Tribolium castaneum: one gene and its partner. The protein of the gene in region 1 purifies or fractionates together with the protein of each later gene. This does not show direct contact. Links are inferred from orthologs where the notes say so. Each region holds a gene or a part of one and is shown in the gene's direction. Other genes may lie near its edges. The genes, in order: Sec10 and Exo70.

Region 1 (4,563 bases):
GTTTTCAACCGCACAACGAAACGAAAGTATGAACTAGAGAAAAAAAGGCAGGAGCTTTCGGCCAAGAAGCCCAAAAACAGTAAAGAAAGAGAAGAGGAGCGAAGACAAGAGGGCTTGAACACTGCTATTTCAAATGACAACAAGGGCTTTAAATTGTTGGAGAAAATGGGTTTCAAGCAAGGACAAGGTTTGGGAAAATCGCAGTCTGGCATAACAGAGCCCATTAAAATAGAACTAAGGAGTGGCAAGTCAGGGGTTGGGTTAGAAAGCCATTTTAAGGAAAAAGTTACCAGGAAGAAGGTTCACAAAGAGGAGACTCTTGCAAAGAAAATGGACGCGTTTCATACAAGTATTAAAAATAAACAAGCCCAGAAGTTGCTCTGTAAGGATTTTGTTAAAGCGCAGAGAGCTTGTGAAGATTTGGATTTAAGAAAGGTGAACACGTTGCTAACGAGTCAAGTGTGTTATTTACTTGTTTTAGAACACTGATGAGCCAATTCAGGAGTTTTATTGGACGAGGGAAACAATTAAGAAGAAGAGAGGTGTTCAAGACGATGAGGAAGAAGAGGAACAGTTTAATGAAGAATTTGATTCCTACTTTACTGATGAAAATTTAAGCGAACTAATTCATTATCTAAGAAACACGCATTTATATTGCATGTTTTGTGCATTTGTCGCAACTGACGAAAATGACTTAAGTACAAGTTGTCCAGGTCCTAACAGAAGCGATCACGATGACGATTAAATAAATTGTGATTTTTAATTTATGTTTTATTTATTTAGCAAATAATAAATTACACAATATTACAACCTAGTTTTTACACTTTACACTTAATAAAAAATTAATTGTTATGCTCATGAAGGGTAAAATTTGCAACATAAAAGTATGAGTGTGAATTACTTTCTATGTCCAAATGTCTTCAGATCTACCAAACTTGAATATGAGTGACGCGATAAAAATAAACACGTTCTGCAAAAATATAGCGACTCCCGGCCAATAGTGAGGCACCTCTGTAAAAAAACTCAATTAAAGTTTGCAATTTTTTACAAAAACTCTTACTCTTGTTGACGAAATCAGCAAATAATATTCCACAAGAGGCAATCACAGATGCAAAACCCATTACAAAACCGACAAAAAGCCACACTTTGGCGCCTCGGGGGCCCAAACAGCCCCCCTCATAAGCGTCGCCCCTCATTTGGGCGTTTGAAACGGAATTGATCATTATCAAAGACACGGCCCCCACGACCCCACACATGTGGTATCCTGCTAGGACAGTCCCTGGGTATACACTTGCGGCATCGATTATTATCCACCAGCCTACGAAAAACTAAAATTTGGATGAATCATGTCCAGTTGTAGAGCACAAAAAAGCTCACCAAAAACCCCGAGATCATTGAAGCGTACGCATTTCGCCTATCACCCCCTTCGAACCAAATACACGGCGGAATATTTATATTTTCAAAACAGTCAGCTATACCCATTTTTTCCCGATTTAATGGCCTTAAATGTAAACAAAAACGATATTTTTTTGGTGATTATGAACTAATGACTTGGGGATTTTATTGTGCGTTTGACGTTTCGAGGGCTTGGTGACACTGGACGTCAGCTGATTAAAAGTTATTTTTTAATTATTTTTAATTAATAAGTCGAAACCACCCAGAAAAAAAATCGTGTGTGATAACGCGCACCCAAAATATACCAGAAATTGTCATAAATTGTAGTTTTAACACCAATAACAAAGGTCTACTTTGTTGTAACCTAAGATTGGTTGGACGTCAAACTGACAGGTGTCAAGTCAAGCCAAAAATAAATAAATTCATGTTTATATCTCCTCCAGTTTAAAGGAAAAAATTTCGCGTCAAAATGATGCAACAATATATGAAAGAACTGGAGCAGGTATTTAACTCCACTTGTAAGTCTTTGCATAAACGCCCCCTAATCTTTAGGAACCGTTTGATGCTGAAGAATTTGTTGAAAGATTAGCTTGGCGCACAATAGCTGAAACAAAAAATGACGGTGATGAGGACTTTAATCCAACATTGCTGCATGACTCGTTTGTTCAAGCTATTAAGTAAGAATTAGGCTTGTGTAAGTCCCATAACTGGGTTCGTTTTTGTAGAGACTTAACTTTGCTCCAAGAAAGGCAAAAAAAGAAATGTGAAAGGCTCGAAGCCGCCGTACGCGAAGACGAAGCATTGTTTTTTCAAAAAATCCACGATTTATTGGGGCAAAATAAAGTAGGTTTTAAATTGTGTTTGCAAAATACAATCCTCAATTTTAGCAAGCCATTGATACGTTTCAAGAGCTAGACGGAAAAATTAACCATGTGGCGACAAAAGTCCTACACTTGGGTGACCAGTTAGATAGTGTTAACGGACCTAGGGCAAGAGTTGTTGATGCAAAAAATCTAATGACACATTTGAATGAATTCTTACAAACTGGCCCTCTCACTTCAGAAATCTTCACCGACTCGTCAAAAGTATTTTTAATTTTTAAATCAACATTTGTTCAACATTTCTTGCAGATTGATGAAGCGGCAGAAGTGATACAAAAGTTGTATTTAATTTCACAAGACCTGCCCTCACCAAAGTAAAAATTTAGATCAATAATTGTAACAACAAACAATATCATGTTTTAGATTTGAGGGCTTAAAGCGCAAAATTGAAAGAAAGTACGATGAGACAGAGCGGACTTTAATTGAAGAATTCTCAAATGCGCAAAGGAGGGACGATTTCAAAAGAATGAAAGAAATCGCTAATGTTTTATCACAATTTAAAGGCTACCCCCAGTGCGTTGATGCTTACATTGAACGGAGTCAAGCTGTAAATATTATCATATTATCATTCCTCTTGTGGAAACAATTTTTTTAGGGTTGCTTGTTGAGTAAAGATGTATTTTCGCGTTTGTTTCCCTTATGTGAACTAAACTACGATGTTATTAAGAAAGTATTTAATAACCCGGAACAAGTATTGGCAAAATTTGTCCTAAATTTGTATCATTTGAAACTGCAAGAGTACATCGCGTCAAAACTATCCTCGAAATTAGATAGTTACAATTATTTAAAAACTTTGTACGAGTTATATGACAGGTAATTACACTCTGAATGATCCACCAGACTCACTTTTTATTTTAGAACCAATCAGTTATCGCAAGATTTATCCGTTTTTAACATGGGGAGCGACAAAAACTATTTAAATAAGCTAACAAGTAACATTTTCAATAAATACATCGATAATTACATAGCGTGAGTTTCCGTACTGGTTTGTTCCAATTGTTTTAATTAATCATAATGCAGATTAGAACTAAAGTGTCTCAAAGAACGCAGTTCTGCCAATTTGCAACGTTACTACGAATCAAAAAACCACCAAAAGAAACAGATCCAATCTGGCGGGTATTTTTATTATTTCGTGTTTTTCCCTTTGTCTAAATTTGTACAGGTTCCAAGACTTGAGACGCGACATCCAGGCCGTAATTGGGACAAGGGCCAACATTAACATAGCCCAGATTGAAAATTATGGTGGCGAAACATTCCTGTCTGAGGAATTAGCAATTACAATTTTGCAAGACACGAAACAAGCGTTCCAGCGTTGTCAGCTGGTACATAATTTGTGTAACTGAATGAAAAACAATCTGTTTTATTTTTTAGCTTTCAAAGCCTGAAGACAAGGCGTCCAATGCCAGTCAAATTTTAGACCGTTTGCTCAATTCTTTGCTAATTGAACACGTAGATTATGCGCTGGAGTTGGGGCTTCAGGCGATTCCTGTGGTAGAAGGGTCCAAGAATCCTCCAACTTTGTATTTCTTCACAGTGGTGCACCAGAGCAACAATATAACGCACTTGCTTGAGAAACAAATCACTGATTTAGCGGTGCCTCTCATTATGTAATTTCTTACAAAATTGTATAACGTATCTCAGATTTGTTTTTAGAAATACGCCAAAATACAGCGATTGCATGCAAAAGAAAAAGTTTATTTTGGAGGATATTGAACGGAAAGTTAACACCGGACTGGACAGGTGACACCCAAAAGTAATGATTTACTTTTTTAATTATTTTTCTAGAACTTTGAATGCTGTGGGAAGTTGGGTAAAAGTCTACCTGCAATCAGAGCAGAAAAAAACCGATTTTAAACCAGAAACTGACGACTTCGATACGGTCGCTTCTCCGGTAAATCACTTCCACGTTCTGCATAAAATAATTCCGATTTGTAGGCGTGCAAAGCAGTTTCCCAATACATAAGTAATGTAATTAAGGAGATCAAAGACAATTTGGACGGTAACAACGTTACTGCCATTTTGCAAGAGCTGGGAATTCGATTACATCGCGTTATTTACGATCATTTATTGCAGTTTCAGTTCAACACCGCGGGTAAATCAATTAAAAATGGTTTTGTGTTGGCTAATTACGATTTTTAAGGTGCAATGGTCGCAATTTGTGATTTAAATGAGTACCGATCATGTACTAAACATTTAGGTCCGCTTGTGGCCGAGTTGTTCGAAACTTTGCATGCGCTGTGCAATTTATTATTAGTGAAGCCAGAAAATTTGCAACAAGTGTGTTCAG
Region 2 (4,343 bases), on another chromosome or scaffold:
GATTAAATTCGATTGGGTAGAGGTGTCGGGCGCATATGAAGGCCATTTGATACAGTGTGATCCTAAAAATGAGTGAAAAATTGTTTGAAACGCCGACTAGATTACTTGTCAGTGCACGTATTGAAGAGTTTCTCGATCAAAGCCGAGTCTTTGATTTGAATCGCGACGACCAAACAGCGACAATGCTCCTGAAAAAGATAATAGAACTGCGAAATAAGCTTCAGTATTTTTTTGCTCTCGAGATCGTCCACATATTTTGCACAGGAGGCTAGGTACAAGCAAATGGGCTTGTAGTTTTCCCTCGTGACGTAATCGAAGAGCATGTACATCTGGTTGATTTCCATTAAAAGGTCGCAGCCTTGTATCTCGTCGTGGTGGCTGCAGTTAAACCTCATGATCTGCTTGACAAGGGGGCTCAGAGTCTTGTAGTTGTTCTCGCACATGACCCACTGTTTGACGATTTCGATCTCCAGCTGGCGGATGTATTCATGCCCCCAATCGCCGATGTTCTCCATCGTGCCTTGGAGACAGTACTTGAGACAGTCGAAGTCGCGTTTCACGCTCCCGTCGATAGCCCCCATGGACAGGACGGAGACGACATCGGAGAGATTTTTTTTCAGGAGGGGGTCCTTCATCGAGTCGCATTTGTTGCGCAGGGCCCCGTAAAAAGGGGCCAGGTATTTGAGGGGCTTTGGGACGGACGTCATGGACGAGGTTGAGGTCCGTATTAAGTACTTTAACATGTCGAGGGACACATTCACTAGCTTCGATTCGTCACCCTGTATATATTTACGTGGTTTTTTATTATTTTGATGATGGAAAAACTCACCGTAATTCGGTCCACGAGACCCTTTAGCTCCACTTGTAATTCCTTATCATCGTCCGACTAAAATTTGGGCCCCGTTTAAAGTATTAAATAAATAGGGGATTTTCTTACGTCATCTTTGGGAATCACCGGTTTTCGGATTGCTGCAGCTGCCATTTCGGCGAATTTTTGCAAAAATGGGCAAAAGGAGCGACCGTTTCAAATGACATGCAAAAATTTCAATTTGACGTTTTGGCGTTTCCGTTTCCGCCTAAAAGCTCAATAAAAATTGAAAATTAAATTATGGATAAGTTTGATATGCCTTGTGACGGTCCTAAAGGTCATTCGGATTGTTTTTCTTAATTTATGCCGTAAGGTTTAATTTTTTTGCAGATATTTTTTAATTCGTAAGCTTGCGCCATCTTCTGGCCTAATAGGTTAGTGTTTGGTAACGTACCCTAACCTTATTTAGTTTTTGCCGCTTGTTTCATAAGTGCGTCTTAAGCCCCTTTTGGGTAAATAGCCCCAATTTAGTGTTTGTTGGTGTCCAGAAATTGAAGAAATTGCTCAAATTACCGATGTTTTTACGATTAATGGACGGCGGTAAGTCCGAATGTCGCTTTAGAACTTTTTAAAATCCAGATTTTTTATGTGGGTAAAGTCCCCATTTTGATGTGTTTATGAGTTTGTTTAATTTTATTTGTAAACAATTAGCTCGGGGCCGTCTAGTATAGCAATTACCACGGCCACTTTGCTCCTACAATTACATGATTACGTCATAAAAATTGAATTTTAACTAAAAGAAGACAGCTTTTATTAACAAACCAATGAATTAAATCACTATTATAACTAATTTTCACTTTTTTATGCTTCTACTATGTTTACGTGCCTCCCTGAGAAATCCCCACTTGTGTTGTCCGTCTACAGGGTGTCCGTTTTTCGAGCTCCACTATGGGGATCTCAGTTGTGATAAGAGTTACGAGATCGGTTAAATTAGGGCAAAGTTGCACGTTGTTATGCTGAACAAGTATCTGAAAGAAAATTTGGTGTGCCATTTTTGGTTTTTGAATTATTGGGAAAAATAAAAAATTACTAATTTTCGTTTTTATTTTTTTAAGAAAAAAAACTAAAAGAACTAGATGTTTTTAAGTAGGAAATCCTTTAGGCACTTTTTACAAGAAACCTAAATCTGTCATCGTCTTTTCCAAGGCGTTCTTGATGTCAGAGTTACAACACTCAACTTTTAACTCTGACATCAAGAACGCTTTGGAAAATACGATGACCTTGTAAAAAAGTTCCCGAAGAAGGTCCTACTTAAAAACGTCTAGTACTTTTGGTTTTTGCTTGAAAAAATAGAAACGGAAATGACAAATTTCCGTTTTCTTCCAATAGCTCAAAAACTAAAAATGACAACATTTTCTTGCACATAATTGTTCAGCATAAAAATGCGCAACTTAGCCCTAATTTCACCAAACTTGTATCTCTTACAATAACTGAGATCCCCATGGTGGACATCCTGTATATAAAAACTTCGGAAGGGTTCAGTAAAAGTCGTCGCACAATTGAATAATTTATTACTATTTTTGGAAGTTGGGCGTTTTGTAAAACAGTGTGATAATAATAACAAAACAAAAATGGAATAAAGGTATTATAAAAGAAATACCCATCAGTTCTATTTTTTTTTTTTTTCGTTACAAATACATATATCAGTGAACAGTGGTCTACCTGAGTGTAAAAAAATACAATTTCTTTGTGATATACATTGAAAAATCGTCTACCTATAAGGCTTCGAATACATTATTGTGTAAATAGAATTAACTAGCACTTTCTTTGGTAGGCTTATACTTAAATAATTTTATGACTAGTTTGATAATATCACTCAGAAAAAAATGAACTGAAAGTGAAATAAAGCAGAAATTATTGTCAAGTGAATAATGGAATTGTCGGTTTGCGCTCACTCCTGCTTTGAATCGTTTTAGGAACTTGATAAATGCTGTTTGACAATAATTTCCTCACAACGAAACCTTAATAAATCATTCGAATTTACTCATTTCAGTCTTTGGTCTAGAATATTAAATAAATATAAATATGTACAAAAAAAATTATATACAGAGCGGCCTCTCCGAGATTTATTTTTGGATTAGTATTGTAAAACGGGTCTGGAATGGCTATGTGGGCAATAATATCGTTTCAGTGCTTTTGATAAATAAATCTCCGAGAGTTCCCGTAACCTATACAAAGGGGGCTATACCCCGAACCTATTATACACATACTGACTGTTGACCCCGTCCCCCAAATTCTCCACCGCCTCCACCGTGGGGTTCATGACGTTGAAAAGAATTGCGAAAATCGTGCAGGCGGCGTACACCCCCAGCGCCACCCACCACAGCAGCTGCTCGTGCAACTTCTGCTCGAAATTCTTCAAGACAAGCAGGCCGATGGTGAGCCCCGCCAGGGCCCCCGTCAGGTGCGCCACGTACGACACCGGCGGCCCCATCGCTTCGGCGGCATACCGCGAATAGATGGCGTACCCCACGTCGCAGGAGGCTGAAATAACAATTGTCAGTTGAATTTTGGTGTTGTGATAGTAGTGTCTAAAATAAAGAAGTTACAATTTGGATCAGGATCTCCTGTAATTTATTGTAGCAACGTTTTCTTTGTACACAATAAAGTTTTACAACACATTAGGCGTACAACTGGTTATTTATCAAACAAAACTTGTGCATAAAGTGATACTGAGGAGTTCCTGCATTTTTCGAAAAACTTCGAAAGTGCAACTACATGGATTGGAAGTACCTATCCAGTAGAAATTCATTTAATTAATTGTGAACTGATGGATTTTGTGGATGGAACAAAGAAGGATGAAAAGCTGGAGAAGAAGGCTTTGGCAGCAATTGTGTTTCTTGTCAAGTCACATATATTTACGGAAGTTAGAGAATAGAAAACTGAAAAAGAAGTTTAGGATAGACTGAAGAAAATTTATGAATATCAAGGTTTCCCAAGAGTGGCAACTTTAACAGAAAAATTAGTTTTGATTCGTGACGCTGATAGTAAGGGAATGAATGATTATTTAAATCAGGAAATGAAAATTGCCCAACACTTGAAGGCAATAGACAGTGAAATAAAGGATAGTGTTTTAGTTGCTCTTAATCTACCAGAACTTTTTAAGCCATTAATTATGACACTAGAGAACTACAATACAGAATTAGCTACAGATTTAGTGAAAGGGAGATTACTACTATAAGCTGCTAAATGTAAAAAATGAAGGAAGAGAATCAGCTTAAGTAATGAAGTGGCATTATCAAAAATTCAAGGATTTTATTGATAAAAATGGTATTTCATCACACAAAACAGGATTTAAAGAAACATGTTTTAATAGCAAGAAGAAAGATCATAAAATCTAAAAATTGCTATTCTTTAAGGAGGAATTTCAAAGAAACATCAAAATTTAAAATCCAAGACATTGGAGTGACTTCAGTTTTATTGTATGTTAAAGGTAAGAGGATTGAAACGCCAAGTTGATTATGCTCCGGGTTTG

What was found.
Region 2: the proteins of Sec10 (region 1) and Exo70 fractionate together in Homo sapiens (co-fractionation; 4 studies listed by BioGRID and IntAct, with this or other methods). This does not show direct contact. The link is inferred for Tribolium castaneum from reciprocal best matches to the Homo sapiens genes EXOC5 and EXOC7.

What each region holds. Positions count from the first base shown.
Region 1 is NC_087396.1:19,821,368-19,825,930, forward strand, and holds the start of Sec10 (exocyst complex component 5), read left to right. Parts: upstream 1-1,665; 5' UTR 1,666-1,864; coding exon 1,865-1,897; intron 1,898-1,947; coding exon 1,948-2,072; intron 2,073-2,120; coding exon 2,121-2,238; intron 2,239-2,282; coding exon 2,283-2,480; intron 2,481-2,525; coding exon 2,526-2,590; intron 2,591-2,639; coding exon 2,640-2,823; intron 2,824-2,871; coding exon 2,872-3,089; intron 3,090-3,134; coding exon 3,135-3,245; intron 3,246-3,296; coding exon 3,297-3,392; intron 3,393-3,438; coding exon 3,439-3,598; intron 3,599-3,647; coding exon 3,648-3,883; intron 3,884-3,929; coding exon 3,930-4,016; intron 4,017-4,061; coding exon 4,062-4,167; intron 4,168-4,211; coding exon 4,212-4,368; intron 4,369-4,416; coding exon 4,417-4,563. Other genes in the region: G patch domain-containing protein 11, read left to right, coding at 1-435, 482-745; transmembrane protein 50A, read right to left, coding at 905-1,011, 1,061-1,328, 1,378-1,482. UniProt on the Homo sapiens protein: Component of the exocyst complex involved in the docking of exocytic vesicles with fusion sites on the plasma membrane.
Region 2 is NC_087399.1:7,106,400-7,110,742, forward strand, and holds the start of Exo70 (exocyst complex component 7), read left to right. Parts: upstream 1-1,249; 5' UTR 1,250-1,408; intron 1,409-2,362; exon of another isoform or gene 2,363-3,050; coding exon of another isoform or gene 3,051-3,352; intron 3,353-4,343. Other genes in the region: 26S proteasome non-ATPase regulatory subunit 2, read right to left, coding at 1-62, 106-779, 830-886, 938-982; stet (uncharacterized protein LOC657740), read right to left, coding at 3,051-3,352. UniProt on the Homo sapiens protein: Component of the exocyst complex involved in the docking of exocytic vesicles with fusion sites on the plasma membrane.